Stegostoma tigrinum: one gene and its partner. The protein of the gene in region 1 purifies or fractionates together with the protein of each later gene. This does not show direct contact. Links are inferred from orthologs where the notes say so. Each region holds a gene or a part of one and is shown on either strand. Other genes may lie near its edges.

What was found.
Region 2: the proteins of chd3 (region 1) and bcl11aa purify together in Homo sapiens (affinity purification with mass spectrometry; 3 studies listed by BioGRID). This does not show direct contact. The link is inferred for Stegostoma tigrinum from reciprocal best matches to the Homo sapiens genes CHD3 and BCL11A.

Annotation. Positions count from the first base shown.
Region 1 is NC_081398.1:14,308,343-14,316,311, reverse strand, and holds the start of chd3 (chromodomain-helicase-DNA-binding protein 3), read right to left. Parts: upstream 3,015-7,969; 5' UTR 2,576-3,014; coding exon 2,479-2,575; intron 933-2,478; coding exon 808-932; intron 1-807.
Region 2 is NC_081362.1:41,927,612-41,935,115, forward strand, and holds the start of bcl11aa (BCL11 transcription factor A a), read left to right. Parts: upstream 1-4,487; 5' UTR 4,488-4,741; coding exon 4,742-4,796; intron 4,797-7,504. UniProt on the Homo sapiens protein: Transcription factor. Associated with the BAF SWI/SNF chromatin remodeling complex. Binds to the 5'-TGACCA-3' sequence motif in regulatory regions of target genes, including a distal promoter of the HBG1 hemoglobin subunit gamma-1 gene.

The DNA of each region.
Region 1 (7,969 bases):
AAATGGAGGTGTGGCTTGAGGAGGGAGGAAGGGATAGGTGACAGGAAGAACAGGTTAGGGAGGCGGGGACGAGCTGGGCTGGTTTTGGGATGCAGTGGGTGGAGGGGAGATTTTGAAGCTTATGAAGTCCACATTGATACCATTGGGCTGCAGGGTTCCCAAGCGGAATATGAGTTGCTGTTCCTGCAACCTTCAGGTGGCATCATTGTGGCACTGCAGGAGGCCCACGATGGACATGTCGTCTGAGGAAGGGGGGGGGGGGGAGAAGAGAGAGTTAAAATGGTTCGTGACTGGGAGGTGCAGTTGTTTATTGCAAACTGAGCAGAGGTGTTCAGCAAAGTGGTCCCCAAGCCTCCGCTTGGTTTCCCCAATGTAGAGGTAGCCACACCGGGTGCAGTGGATACAGTATACCACATTGGCAGATGTGCAGGTGAACATCTGCTAATATGGAAAGTCAATGGATTTTTAATGGGTTAGGGTTTCAGTTTGTCTACTCCATCATCCCCTGCATGGCTAATGGAGCACACGGCGATTCTTTTTTCCATCCAGCTTCGTCCTCAAAAGGAGGTGGTGCGGTGGCAAGGTGGCAGAATAGGCTACATGGAAGATCCATTTTTTAGTCCTGCAGCATACGTTTTCTAATGGGAAGGGCCATTGGGGTTCACTGGTATCTCTGGGTCAGAAGGAACAAATACCATTTGGAGCAAATACCAACTGCTCCAGAGGTACATCATAATATGACTGAACAGGTCAACTGGAAAATATCTAGCTGCAGGGTGAATAACCAGAGAACTTGCTGCTACTCACCAATTTCTTCCGCTTCTTCAGCTTAGTTGGTTTATTTTCCTTTTGTTTTTTCAGGAATTTCTTCTTCTTCTTTTTGGTACTTTCACTGTCTGAAATCTCTTCGTCCTCCTCTTCCACATCTTCTGCTGAAACAAGAAATGTGCAACTGTTTCAATTCGGCAGCATTAAACACCAAGGCCTTAAGTACTTAGAGGTTGCCATTCGGCTTAGAGCCTGCTCTGCCCTTCAACCAGATCACAGCCAATTAATGCAATTTTCTGAAGAAGGGTCCAGACCCGAAATGTCAGCTTTCCTGCTTCTGTGATGCTGCCCGGCCTGCTGTGTTCATCCAGCTCGGCACCCTGTTCTCTACTTAAGTGTTCTTTTAATATATGAATTATGCTTCGATAGAAAGCATCCAGGGATCAGCCAGCACTGGGGACCATTAGAAAACCAACGCAGCTGCTGCAGCGGTAGAATAGGGGCACACAGAAATTTTAAAAAAAATCAGGAATAACGGAAAAGCGTGGAGAAGGATGTACTGGGTTAAGGAAGAGAGGGTGAGGATGGTGAGTTCAGGGTCTTGGAACAGGAGCTGGCCATCGGGACATTCCAAGATATTCCACTGTTCAAAAAGTTACCGTTTGGCGGGGGAGAAGGTGTGTCTCAGCTCCACATGCCTCTGAGGCGGATCAGTTGGGGAGAGCAGATGCTGTACGTGGAGGAAGGCTGGTGTCGGGGCAGTGAAAGAGTTAAAGGGAGCCGCCGCCGAGCGAGAAAATGGCGGCCGCCGGCTTTGTTTTTTTTTGGGGGGGGCGCGAAAGGAGGAGAAAAGAAGGATAAATGGGCAACTAAACAAACTGGCAGCCGATCTTATTGTGGGGGGAGGAGGAAGAGGAAGACAGGGCAAACAACGAGCAATTGAGGATATCACAAAGATATAAATCGCACCTATGGTGAAGGGGGGGGGTTTATTACCTCAGATGAAAACATCCGTGGAGCTCACAAGAGGAGCACACAAAGAGAAAATTTAAAGTCCGCCCCGGGTGGGGGGGTATTTACACAGATATTGTCGAGGGTGGGGGTCGGAAAAAGGAAGGTTTGTTTCGCCGGGAGATCGTGCTTCTCTCTCTCTGTGTCTTGTCTGTCACTCGCCCCCTCGGCGGGTTGTTGTTGTAGCAGCAGCGTTTGATTGACAGGCGCGGCCGTTAGCACAAGGAGCGCGCGGCCCCCGGGGCTCGGGCTTCCACTTGCAGCAGGAGCCGCGTCTGAGGGCACAGGGAGCGGGAGGAGGAGTGAGGGTTTAAACGGCGCGAGAAAGAGAATGAACTTTACGGCCGCTGCAAGCCAACAATCCGGGGGGGGGGGGAACATTCCCAAAAGAAAAATAGCTTTAACGCGTGCAGCCGGCCAAACCGAAAGAAAAATAAAACGCCGGCGTCGGAGAGGACACCAACCAAATATTGAGAGATGAGAAAAAAAACACAAACGACTGCACGGGGAGGGGGGCTGTGGGTGTGGAAAAAAATAATTCGTGGGGGTGAAGGGAAGAGATGCCATATTGCCATTGCAGCCCTCCGCCCCTCGTGCATTCTACCCGAGCACTTAATGTCGAAAGGTTTTTGCAATTTTGGGGTTGGGAGAAAAATAGCTTTTAGAAGCGGCCCCGGGGAAAGCGGCGCGCGCGCTAACCTGCCGCTGGCGGGAAAAGCTGCAAACCGGCGCCGCTGCGTTCGTCCATGTCCTCCTCATCCTCCTCCTCTTCTGGGTGCCTCACTGGAGATGCCATGGCCTCAGGAATTTCGCCCACCCCTCCCTACTCACTCAATAAAAATATATTTCCTCACTCTCTTTCCTCTCCCCCCTTCCCTTTTCATATATGTACACAAAATAACGAAAGCTACGCCAGTCTTTCTTCGGGAACACCCCCCCCCCCCAACGGTTTCTATTTTTTCCCCTATACACACAAACAAAAGTTATCCTACAGACTTTTGTTTTTGTGTGAGGGTTTCCTGTAAAGATCAGATCTCTCTCCTTCGCTAGTTTTCAATTTAAAGACCCCCCCTTCCCTTTCTTAAGGAAAAAGTTCCAAGCTACTTAACCAAACCCCCTCAAAAATGTTTTAATATACAAGGGGAAGAAAAGATGGCGTCCAAAATATTTTCCACCCCCCCATTATGAAATTTGGTGGGGGGGGAATTTGAAGAGAAAAAAGGTGGAAAATTAATCAGTGCTCATGCTCAGATTGACGTCACCCCCTCCCGTTGCTATGGGCACCCTGCATCCCATAATAGCACCAGTTTAACTAGTTAGGACTGACTCACGTGGGTCTTTAACCAAGTAACCAGGGGATGTCCAGCAATTGCCATTTTTCAGTCAAGTTGGTGAGGGTGGTCAGCCTCCTTTTGGCCCTATTGCTCCTGATTCATTAACATCATGATAAACACCTTCAAGGTCAACTTTCAACTTATATTTTGGTCCTCTCTGCTCGGTCAAACATGAGCATCTTCCTTCTTCTTTTCATGCTCAAACATTTCCTACCCAGTTCGAAGAAAGATGCCCGCTTCTTTCCTCTCCTCAATGTCCCTGGGTCCTCACAGCAACTTGTTAAAAAAAATTGTCCCCTATCTCATCTCCAAAATTTTCCCGCGAACCAAAAGAAACAGCATTTTTTTTTAAAAAGTCCCACTGGCAATGTTATTTTCCACTTCAAACCTAAAAAAACTGATGGCCCCAATTTGTTGGACACTGTATTAAAGCAGCAGAAACAATATATTTGGTGCAACATTGCTCCCAAGGGATTCATGTCTGGTGGCTCAGTGAGTAGCACTCAGGCTGTGACTTTATATTCCCTTGGCAGAGATTTGAGCGCTACATTCTAGCCGACTTTCTCAGCGCTTCAGAGGAAGCACTGCCTCGTCAGAAGTACCATCTTTCAGATGTTATATTAAAATATGACACCGTCTACCTCTTCAGTGGGACGTAAAATATCCCATGACCTCTGTTTCAAAGAAGGGCAGGGGAGTTCTCTTCATTAGCTCCAGCTAATATTTATCCCTCAAACAAAAATTATCCCCAGATTATCTGGTCAATAGCACGTTGCTGTTTGCAGGACCTTATCTTACATCAATTTACTGTGGTGTTTCCTATGTTGCAGCAGTGACTGCACTTCAAATTTATCTAAAGCTTTGTACCCTTCTGAAGTTGTGAAGGGCATGATATAAATGCACTTTTTTGGTGAAAGTGCTCCATTAACTCGGCTGCACCCAGAAGCTTTGGCACTTGCCTGAATCTTCATCGACATGGAAGGTGGGAATGTCTGCCTGTGTATGTGCATCTCTGGAGAGATACCCAACATTTAAAAAAATCCCAGACATTCAAAAGACAATCCTAAAAGATAAGACATACAGCAAAAATATTAGCAAAGTTTGCATACTTCTAGCAATTTCTCTTTACCTTGCAGATGGTTTCAGTGTTTAAGGCTTTGCATGAAGAGATTACTTCGAATTTGTTTTTGTCAAAACAATTTTGACCTTTGTTATGTAATTGCAGGATTATACAACTCTTAGCCAGAAAGTTTCTTTTTTTGTATAATTTGATCATATTCAAAAGGTTCCAGAAAGAAATGTCTGAAATTCCTTTATTAACCACTTCTCAGGTTTTTGTACTTTTAGTTGAGGACAATGTATTGGCATGGACATTGAGGAAAAGCCCCCACATCTTCAAATCATGGCGAGGGAATAATTTGCATTGACTTAAATAATTAGTTAACATCGCAATGCATCATCCAAGAGATGACCCCTCCATTAGTTCAACACTCACCTGATGCCTTGCTCTAGTATTGACATGGATTACGTGTTCAAATCCTGAAGTGAGATTTGAACTCATGGCGTACTGACTTGGAGCTGAGAATGCGACCAAATGATACTAATATAAAATAAAGACTACAAATGCTGGAGAAATTCAACTAATCTGGTAGCATTTGTGAAGACAGGAAGAGAGTTAACATTTCAAGTGCAACATGGCTCCTGTTCACTTAGAAGTGACACTAATTCCAACAGGTACTAAGGTACCATAATCTATGAATACTTTATTAATAAAATGCTTGTGCCAAGAAAATGTGTACTTTTTTTTCTTTTCGCCATTTCGGGATTGAAATGCATAATCTTGGATTTTGACATCCAGATTTTAGGTAGTGCATTTGTGTGTTGTTATAGCAAATTGACAACAACAAGGACTCTGTAAATAAGTGCTATCTGGAGTATCTGGAGATGTCACTAGAGAATTCAGGATGACATCCAATTCTGTGAAAATATCATTTAGAAACTAACCAATTTTGTGAAAATCTCATTCGGAAATGAAATTAAGTCTGTGTTTAGCAAGTCATAAAGCTACATATATTCTTTGGCAACAAGTAAATGACTTTTCTAATTTTTAATTCGTGTCAAAATATCACTGAGTCCCACCCCTCTTGATTCTTCAACATATTTTTACTGTTTTTATATTCTTCCCTATTAACCCATCTTTGCAAGACAGAAGCAATCTACTTGGCCTATCTGTATATCTGCTCCATACAAGCCTCCTCCCAACCCCTCTTCATCTCTCCCTATCAGCATATTCCCCTCTTCAATTTATTAATACTATTCCCCTTGACTGCTCCCTGTGGGAGTGAGTTCCACATCCTCCTCACTCTCTGGGTAAAGATGTTTCTTCTAAATTCCTGATTTATTTTCGTTGTCTGATATAGATGGCCCTAATTTCTGGCCTCACCCACAAGCATCTTTTCTACATCTACTCTACCAAATTCCTGTCTAATTTTAAAATCCTCAGTACTGTTATCAGAGAAAATAAATTCAGCCTATTTAGCTTTGAGTGATAGCCTCAACCTTTCAGGTCTTCCATCAGCTCCATGAATTTTTAATGTACATTCTTCAACGCTTCTACATTCATTTTGTAATATGCAGTTTAACAGTATTAACATGATGGTTTAATGATGTGGCAAAATCAACAGGATGAATCATGGAATGATGCAGCATGGAAGAAGGCACTCACCCTATTAGGTCTCTGCTGGATGCTTCATGAGCGATCTCAATGGTCCTTCACCCTCCTGCTACACCCCTTTCCTCCTACACCTCTGCTATTTTCCTCCTTTGACTTATCCATTTTCATTGCGGAGGCTACAAGTTTTATCCACCATACTGTCAGGCAGCGTGTTCCAAATACTGACAATGCATCATGTAAAACTAAAATAGCACACAACAAGACTCCAAAAACATATTAATAAATAACTAAATAATCTGTTGGGTGGCATTAGGTATGGAGATAATGTCAGCCTAGAGAAAGAAGAGAACATGCTGCCCTTTCCTAATTACATCATGAGATGATTTGCATCATCATAAGAAGAAGGCATCTTATTCAAATAAAGGAACACCTGACAGCAGAGCACTCTGTCAGGACTGCATTGGGAATGTTAGTCTGGGTTACGTGCTCACAATTGGGCATTAACCTCCAAGCTTCAAAAACCAATAAGCTTCTTTTAAGGCTTTCCCATCATCCTCTGTGCTTGCTGAGCTAACTTGTTCCCAGGTCCAGCTACACCTTGATTTTAAAACTTGCATCCATGTCTTCAAATGCTTCTAAGGCCTTATTTCTCCCTGCCTCTACAACGTCCTCCAACCCTTCAAGATCTCTGCACTTCTCTAATTGCAGTCTCTTGAAGATGATCAATTCCCATAGTTCAGCCAGTGACAATCAAGCCTTCCTCTCTGTGCCCCAGGCTCTGGAAATCCCTTCCTAAACCTTTCTGCCTCTCATTTTGCTTCTTTAAGATGCTTCTTAAAACACTGACTAAGTTCTTGTTCGACCCACCACAACATCTCTTTACAAGTTATAATGTCAAAATTCCATCTCATAACAGTCCTGTGAAGCGCCTTGGAACGTTAAACATGAATGTGAGGTATTGCTGTTAAAGTGGCCTGTGCACTTAAAAATATCTTGAGTTCAGCTGAGACAGTTAACAGTTAGAAACTTGCGAGTAAATACATCTCTTCCCAACAATAGCAAAAGTCAGGATCAAGCAACACATTTGCTTTTGTTTTTAAACCAAATGTGCAACATGAACAGATCTGATGAGCTACAAGGACTACTTTTGCGTTTACTGGCCTTTAATTCTATCAGTGCCGACAGAGAGAGAGTGTGTGATTATTCTGACAGGCCTAGACCAAAAGACCTAGCACGCTAACACTTACTGACACGACTGGTGCTCTCTAAGGATTTGGCCTCAACTGTTTGTGCTCATAACTTGGGGAGCTGGATTTGAACCCACCAACCTACAACTGGCTCAGTGACAGGTGTGCAACCCAGTCAGGTCACTGATTCCATGGCGAGTTTGGATTCCATCTGGAGCCAGTACCCTCAGCAAGTTAAAAAGGAGAAAGCAGAATTACATGGAATTTCCAGCACAAGAAACAGGCTTCTCAGCCCCAAACTAGACAACTAGACATGTGCATGTTTTTCTGCTTACACAAGACTCCTCGCACCCCTTCCTTATCTCGTCCTAACAGTGCATCCTTATGTTTTCTCCTTCACAAGTTCTTTGAGATTCCCCAAGTAAAGACATCTCTGCCGTCTGCAGGTATCCACTTTTTTTGGGCGGGTTGTGATGGCATATTGATAATTTCACTTGGCTAATGCAGAACTCTGGGAAAATGTTCTGGGACATGGCAGATAGCGAAGTATGGTCCGGAATAAAAGGCTTGCTGTGTATAACAACTATCAATTGTCATTAAAATCACCATAATTCACTAATACCCTGAAGAACATCTGGTATCCTTACCTTGCCTGGCCTACATGTGATTCCAACCATGTGGTTGACTCTTTACCAGGTCAAGATGGTGGCAGGCTAAGACACTCCTCTGCTGGAGTTCCTCTCCTCACCAGTTCCTTTTCTTTTTTCTTTTCTTTTTATCTCCCTCTCCCCTTTGCAGTATTCCCCACCCCCTCAACCCCCCCCAAAATTTAACTATTTTTAACTTCAACTATTTAACTCTAACCTGAAGAAAGGAATCCCTCCGGTGACTGGGCGGGAGCTGAGCACACCGTAGTGGAGTGAGCATGGGTCAGAACGAAGTCAGCAGAGCGGACACGGGTTGGAGCGAGTCCTGGAGGGGCCAAGTCCCCAGAG
Region 2 (7,504 bases), on another chromosome or scaffold:
AGCCGCGAGAAAATATCTAAATGACACATATAGAGCAGCTTTGGTATTTGGGTCTAATCCTTTAGACAATTTAAGGGAAACAAATGAGAAAAAATATGTTTGGTACAACTGGTTGTAAGGTTTCTTTAAGGAAGATGTAGTTTGCAATGGATGATTTCTAGGTTTTGGTAGTGGAGACCAAAATGCTCAATATATATCTAAGCTAATGAAAGGTACTTGTTTTCATGTCATTTGGTGGAAGCCAAAATCCAGTTTTACTAGTTTTTTTCACACCTGGACGGCAAGGCGGGGGAGGGGAGAGGGAACGCAATACAAATCCAGCTACAGACAAAACAATCTTTGTTGTGCTACTACCTCTCGGTTGCCTGTCTCATCTTGAACAAAGGCAATGAATATTATAGCACCAGATCCATATGTATAACAGAGCACACAGCATGCATGCCACCAATTACGTTTGGATTGTACAGCAGGGGCATTTCAAACGCTACACTTTCTCACTCAATTTTGTATGCCAAGACACAGATCTTTTGTTCGCGATTAGTTTTGGTACAAAGCCTACACGATTTGCACTTCTGAATATAGTGCAAACGTCATCTGAACGCTTTCTGCTCAAGTGCCTCCTAATATGTGGGATGGAATATGGAAGCTTGTAATTGACACTCATTTTTACTGGCAAGCGCTGGCACGTCTTCAAGACTGTGCAGACAATACTGAAAACATCGCTAAGTTCGCCTTTTTCAATGGGTGCTGCGACGAACCTGTGCAATAAAGCTCGCTGGAACTGTGGTAAAGAGAAAATATTTGAAGGAAAGTGGTTTCGTCTTGCAAATAGATCCGTCTTGTCAACAGACAGACTTCAAACAGTGCAGCCACTTTAATATAGTGGAAGTCACATGCCACAACTGTCCACTGCGTTCAAATGCTTCTTCAAATTTATTGTCCCTTATATTAAAACGCGCTTCGAAGTTAAACGTCACAGGGTGATCAATTAGTTACTCAACAATTAGTTGTTGCATTGCAAACCAAAAACTCTGACTTTATCTTCCTGACAACTGAATTAAACTTCCGAATTATGCAAGCTGTTGACCACTGACCGCAGAAGCTATGTAGATTATGCGAAACATTTGATTACAATCAGCAACAACAAGGCGCTGATCACCGAGCAAAGGTTGGCGGCGGCGCTAGGGGTACTCCTGCAAGTCCCGGACAGAAAACAAAGGTTATATATATATATATATATATATAAAGTACATTTGCTGAATGATCTAAGAGACGGGGGGTAAAAATAATGACAAAGCAGCAGAAGGATTTGATTTATTTTGCGAATGGATCGAGACTGCTAATGTCTGATCATTTACATATTGAAATGCGACCAAGCGGACACTCAATTTTCCTGCCCATGTTTTGCACATGGCTCTCTCGATTTTCAAGCAGCCAGGTTACCTCGCAACGCCCCTTGAGGAGGTCAGGCGGTCGATTCCGCGTTGATCAATTTTGACTGCAAGGCATCAACATTATGAAAAACACCCTGGCACCAGATGGAGCGAGGTCTAGGTAAAGGTCAAGGTTAGCTCAGCCTGCTATTGAATCGGCTGCGTGATAGATCGTTGACTCGCTTTGCTCGGAGGCACCCATAGGGGTTTCTGAGAATAAAAGGAGTCACAAGTGAAACGCTCCGATGCTGCTCTGAATGCTAAAATAATTATTCGGATGCATTAAAAACGAGTAGCCAAATTCTTCCATAAGAAAACACACGCGCAGATAGGTGCTGGGAACATTTTATTAAGCATATCAGTCTGACTTCGAATACCCAACTCCAGTCATTGACTACATTACTTAAAGTTAGTCACTGAGCTAATCAAAAGATGGAATTAATTCCTTCATTACGGATTTGTCCATGAAGTGGTCGTGAAATTACCGAATGCGTCGATACTCCCTCCACCCCACCCCCCAACTCCCTCTCCTCAGTCTCTTCCAGGCACTCGATCGGATCTCTCCGTGCTGGGTCCGAGTTTCACTGGGCAGACATTACACACAAAAGTTACTCATGTATCCGCGCCGGTAGTTTTAATCAGGAAAGAGTGGAGGAGAGGCGCGCGGCGGCGGCGGGCAGGGGGTGAATGTATGTGTTTGTGTGTTGGGAGGAGGGGGGCGGGCGGTGGGTGTCTGTACATTTTTATTTGACTGCGACTTGGCAATAATTGGATTCGCGAACTCACTTCATAACTACTGGACAAGATGGTAGATAAAAGGCGACCAGGTTAGCAGCCAGCTTCCAGATGCAGATTAGATCAGAAATAATTTTGCATTAGAAGTGGGGGAGGTCTGCTGGAAGGAACTTGGCTCTGGCAGTTCGGCAGCGCTTTGCCCTCGCTCCCTATAAATTTACCGAACCCTTTTCCTGTAGAAAACCGCACGGTTCGAAAACAAAACAACCTACAGTCATTTGGAATCCTTGCAGATGGGAAATGTACTTTTACCGTTTTAACAGAAGTGCCATCCACCTCGGGTTAAGAGTTATAAAACCATTTTGTTTTACATCCATGACTTTAAGTAACCTAACTTCCTCGTGTGAGACGGACGGTACAGCTGCAACCGCAGATCTTATCTGATCGTTGAGTGTTAAGAGTAAAAATAGTTAACCCTTCAACCACTTGCTACAGCTGGTGAAAAGAAAAAAATGGCGCAGTTTCTGTTAACATATCGCACCATTGATCGCAATGAGTTCAATTTCACTTCTGCCTGAAATCTTTTGCTAGCCATATTCACGTCTAGGGCCCTCCAGCTAAAAGTATTTATACTCCACAAAAAAAAGCACCATCATACACACAAGGTTACGTCTGGGGAGCACAATACTTATACTTCATGGAAACAATGACTTAAAACGCCTCTGAAATCTTCCATATTCTACGGTTCCTGTTGCATCAGTACAAATTTATAGTACAGCACAAGTTTTAAAAACAAGATTCTTCAAGCTACCTATTCCGATAGTTATCTCGCTGAAGTCTGCAATCATGCACTCGAGAGACAAAATTCTTTCTTATTTACGATTTTCTAATTGCAAAGCATGTTACACGATTTTTTTCTAGTTTGTTGTGCAGATTTTATTTTAAATAAACATGGAAGGGCAGATTTATAAAAAAACTGTTATGTTATATTGATTGACTAGACTTTCAGCCATCACATTTAATCAAACCATCCAAGTATCACCAAGGGCAACAGAATTATCATAAAATCATTTTCCTTTAAAAAAATCGTGTGCTTGAAATGTTATTACATTTTTTAAAATAAAACGGTCGATGCAGGTGCAAAATCTTCAAAGGTTACTCGAAAACTCCTTTTCTCACCTCGCATAAATGAACAGGGCCGTATGTGTATCTTGAAATGAGAAGCAGCATTGCTATTTTAAACATAATTTGCATTCAACTCCAATACCTGCAACTAAAGTACCTGCAAATCCATTGAAAAACGAGAATGAACTGTGTGAAGATCAATTATCAAGCCGTTCTCGGTTTAACATACTGTATAGAAGAGCGACACAAAGGGTAGAAAAATAATAGGATTAACATTTTCACTTCATATTATATATTCACGTTACTTCAAGCATTTCCACGGTCTTGTGAATTATCCGCCAATAAGTAACTGAAAACAGCAGAGATGCGAATAACAGGTAACGCTAAGGAAATAGATAGTCGAGGACACTTCCTTTTATTCCACAAACTAAACATAATATAACGTTATGTTTATAAAGCACATAAGCACAGAAAGAGTCAGCAACCTTCAGGAGCAGTTGCTTTTGTCATAGAAAGTGAAAGAAGGCAGTAGACATGATTTATGATTTTAATTTAAAATAATATACAAATGTAAATATCTACGCTCTATCCAGCTGTTTGGATTCACGTGTACGCTATCGAATTTCAGTGGGCTGCAAATTCTAATACTCATTTGGGTATTTACACCATAAAATACTTTACAAACCTTGTTTATTCCCCCTATCACCACTACACATAATTAACTTTATGAATAATGTCAACCTTTTCGGACGTGGTTGGCAATCATAACGGGGACACAAAAACAAACGCGGAGTGCATGTGCGTTCCCCTTCCTGATGTCCTGCACGGGTTGTCCAGCGCAAATGTCTCATCACTTGCCCAGTTCTGGCCAGCAAGCGTTGCGCCCATGAGTTGCCAGCAGTTTGGGCTGGCACAGAAAGAGAGAGAGAGAGAGTTGGGAGCGGTGTGGAGGGGAGCGCGGTTGGAGTGGCTTTCAGAGAGAGAAGGCGGTGGTGTGTGTGTGAAGGGGAAGGGGGTGGTGGTGTGTAGATGGTGGTGGTGGTGTGGGGGGGGGGGGGGTGGTGGGAGCGGTTGCAGCGGTAGGCGGATGATGGATTGATTGGAAGCTGCTGGAAGCTGCGCCTATTGGATGCCTGGGACTGAGAGTGAGTGTGAGTGTGTGTTAGTGAGACTCTGTGTGAGCAGTGGGGTTTGTCCGGCCCCGTGTCCCTGGGTATGTATCATTGGCTTGCTCTCTCCTCTCGCCCTGCCCAGCCACCTCCTGACGTTCAAGTTCGCGGGCACGTCACGTACGCACTTGAACTTGGTCGTTTTAAAGCCATGACGGCTATCCCACAATCCATCTCCATCCGCCATCTTTGTATTATTTCTAATTTATTTTATGTCAAGCCATTGATGAAGATATTTTCTCTGGAGTCTCCTTCTTCCCGCTCCCGATGTGACCGAGCATGTCTCGCCGCAAGCAAGGCAACCCTCAGCACTTGAGTAAACGGGAATTTTCACGTGAGTAGCTTTCAAATTTTTTTTTGTTCCACTTTTTTTGGGAAAAAAACATATTTAAAAATAAAGCGCTCCGTTGAAAGTGCAGGGAAGAAGAAGAAAGATCTTCCCCGGCGGCCCCCCCGCAACCCACCCCTCTCTCTGGTGAGGTGCCGGCAGCAGCAGCGGCGCCGGGGCTCGATCGGTCAGCGCTTTGACCGGACTCCTGACAGCAAGTGGCCGGACTGAGGGGCAGAGCAGCTGCAGGGATCTGAGCCTCCCAAGTGTCCGGCTCCAGATCCGCTCAAATTCTCTTATCCACCTTTCCCCCCTCCGTCACCTCCATACACAAACAAAAATCCTCCACATGCCAAGGAGGGTGGGGGGTGGAAAACAACAGAAGAAATCAGAATAAACTCCTCAGGAGGTGAGGGGCAACGAAACTGTAAGGAAGAAACTCAACAAGAGTCCAAAAAAAGTGCCGATACCCCTCCCGCCCCCTCCTCTCCGGACACTCGGCGCTGGCTTTGCAGCTTTGATCGCGCCGCCCCTCAAAGGGCATCAGTCCCCGAGCCCCATCCGTCTTCCACCCCCCCCCACCTCCCCCGCCAAAAAAATTTAAACTTATTCCCTCTCCTTCCTCCTTCCTTCGGAAGCCGGGAAATCGTCTCATACTCGCTCGCAAGTTTAATTCACCGCTTAACTTCTCCCGCTTTCCCTCCTCTTACTATTTTTTGGAAGATTTTCAAAAAAAATCTGGAAGTAGATTGTGATTGGGAAAAATCTCGTGCTTGAATGTTTACAACAAGCTGCAGCTCCGCGTGTGCGGAAACCTCATGGAAAAAAAACCCAGCGCCGACGCTCTCACATTTTGCAGCGTTTCGCAAATCCCCTCCCAGAACTATTAAGTCTAATTAATAATTTTGTTTTGAAGAGTCACAAACTCCGCTGTAAACCCCGGGTGTTAGCGTTGCTGTCCTCGGGCAGACACGCGGAACTCTCGGGGCTGACCGAGCTGCGGGTGTCAGTCAGTCCGGGCGCGCACACGTGCGATCCGCCAGATCGGGGAGAGGGGGGAAGAGATCCTGAGGAGTGGGAGGCCGGAGAGTGGGAGCCCGGGCGTAGACGGAACACGGGGATAGAGATCCTGGAACTGGGGGAGAGGAAGCCCGGGTAGAGGGACCCCGGAGCGAGGTGGGATCGGTATAACTGAATGAGAGATCTTGGAGACGGGTGGTGGGGGTTGGCGGAGGTATGTTGCTGGAGAAAGAGAGAGCCCGGAGCTGGACGGAGAGATTCGGGAGTCCGGGGGGGGGGGTGGAGGAGGGCGGCGGGAAGGTCGGGGTGGGGGGTGATGTGGGTGGTGAGGTAGAGACGCCAGAGTTTTTGGATACACTAGTCAGAGAGAGAGAGAGAGAGAGAGAGATATCCCGGAGCCGTGGGGGTGGGGAGAAATAGATGGGGAGGGAGAGAGAGAGAGAGACCCGGCAGCACAAGAGAAGGGGAGAGCGGGAGATCTATGGGCGGTGGGGGAGAGAGAGAGAGCGAGAGCCTGGGGAACGACAACCCGGTGGACGGAGTTGGGAGAGAGTCCAGCTCCCGGCACCGAGATCCCGTGGGGCAGGGGAGTCCGGGTCCCGGACTCCGTTCCCACACACGTTCGGAAGGAAGTTATTAACAGCCCCACCCCACCCCCCGGAATGTTAAGCACACTGTTTGGGGAGAGGGAGTTTTTAGCTTTGGTTTTTGTGAAAATGAGACTTTGTTCCTGTTGGGGGAAAGCCGCAGGTTTGTTGTCAGATTTTCCAGTGTTGCCGTCATCTCTGAGATTGCGATCGGCCAGTTCCTGGGCTTTCACATTGAAATCCAACAGAGCGAGCAAACTGGCGAGAATTGAAAAGAAATACCTGGCGAATAAAGTATAGTTAAAACTGTAGTGTGGGAGTTTCTTTCGCGTTTAAAACCCGTTTTTCATAATTCAGTGATTGTGGGAAAATGTATTTATAAGCCAGACAGTGGAGGAAAAATAAGGCGATTCGTCTTGTCGATAGAAATCGCGGACTTTTGGCTTTCTGAATATTTTCTGTTTTGCCAAGTCCCCGTTGAATCGTCTCAATGTAGAATATTGGGTCTAAACGGAAGATGTATCAAGGTTGTTTAAAGTGTGCGTGAGGGACTGAAGGGAGAGGGGTCGATGCTGCGCGCTTGTGTCGCTAGGAGGCAGAGTAACATCAAAAACAAGCCCAGGCTGCAACCTGCGCAAACTTCCAACACCATTTCCTAGCGACTGCTCTCAGATCTTCCTCCTTGTCCTCCCCCGCCGACCAAAAAAAGCAAATTAAACGAAACCGACCCCATCCCAAACACACTCTGCTTTACTGGCTGTTTTCCATCCGATATTCTTCCAGGTAAAAGGGCTAAGTCTGATGCCGAGCTTCACCTGCACGAGGGCTCGACGCATCGGAATTATTGTTGAAGTTCGTTGAGTTCAGGCATTATTCTAAACAAAAGCAATCAATTAAAAAAACTAAATAATAACACAGCTTACCCCTTCCCCGTTAAAAAGCTTGGAGAAAAAGGAAACAATTTTTAAAAAAATCAGTTCAGTTAATGATACAGAAGCAAAGTTTGTTCAATAACAGCAGCTAGTTGTTTGCTCTAAAGAATATTTTGCTTTGACCCACGTGTGTGTGATGATTGCATTTTTTAAAATTTTGGGAAATGCTTTGGAA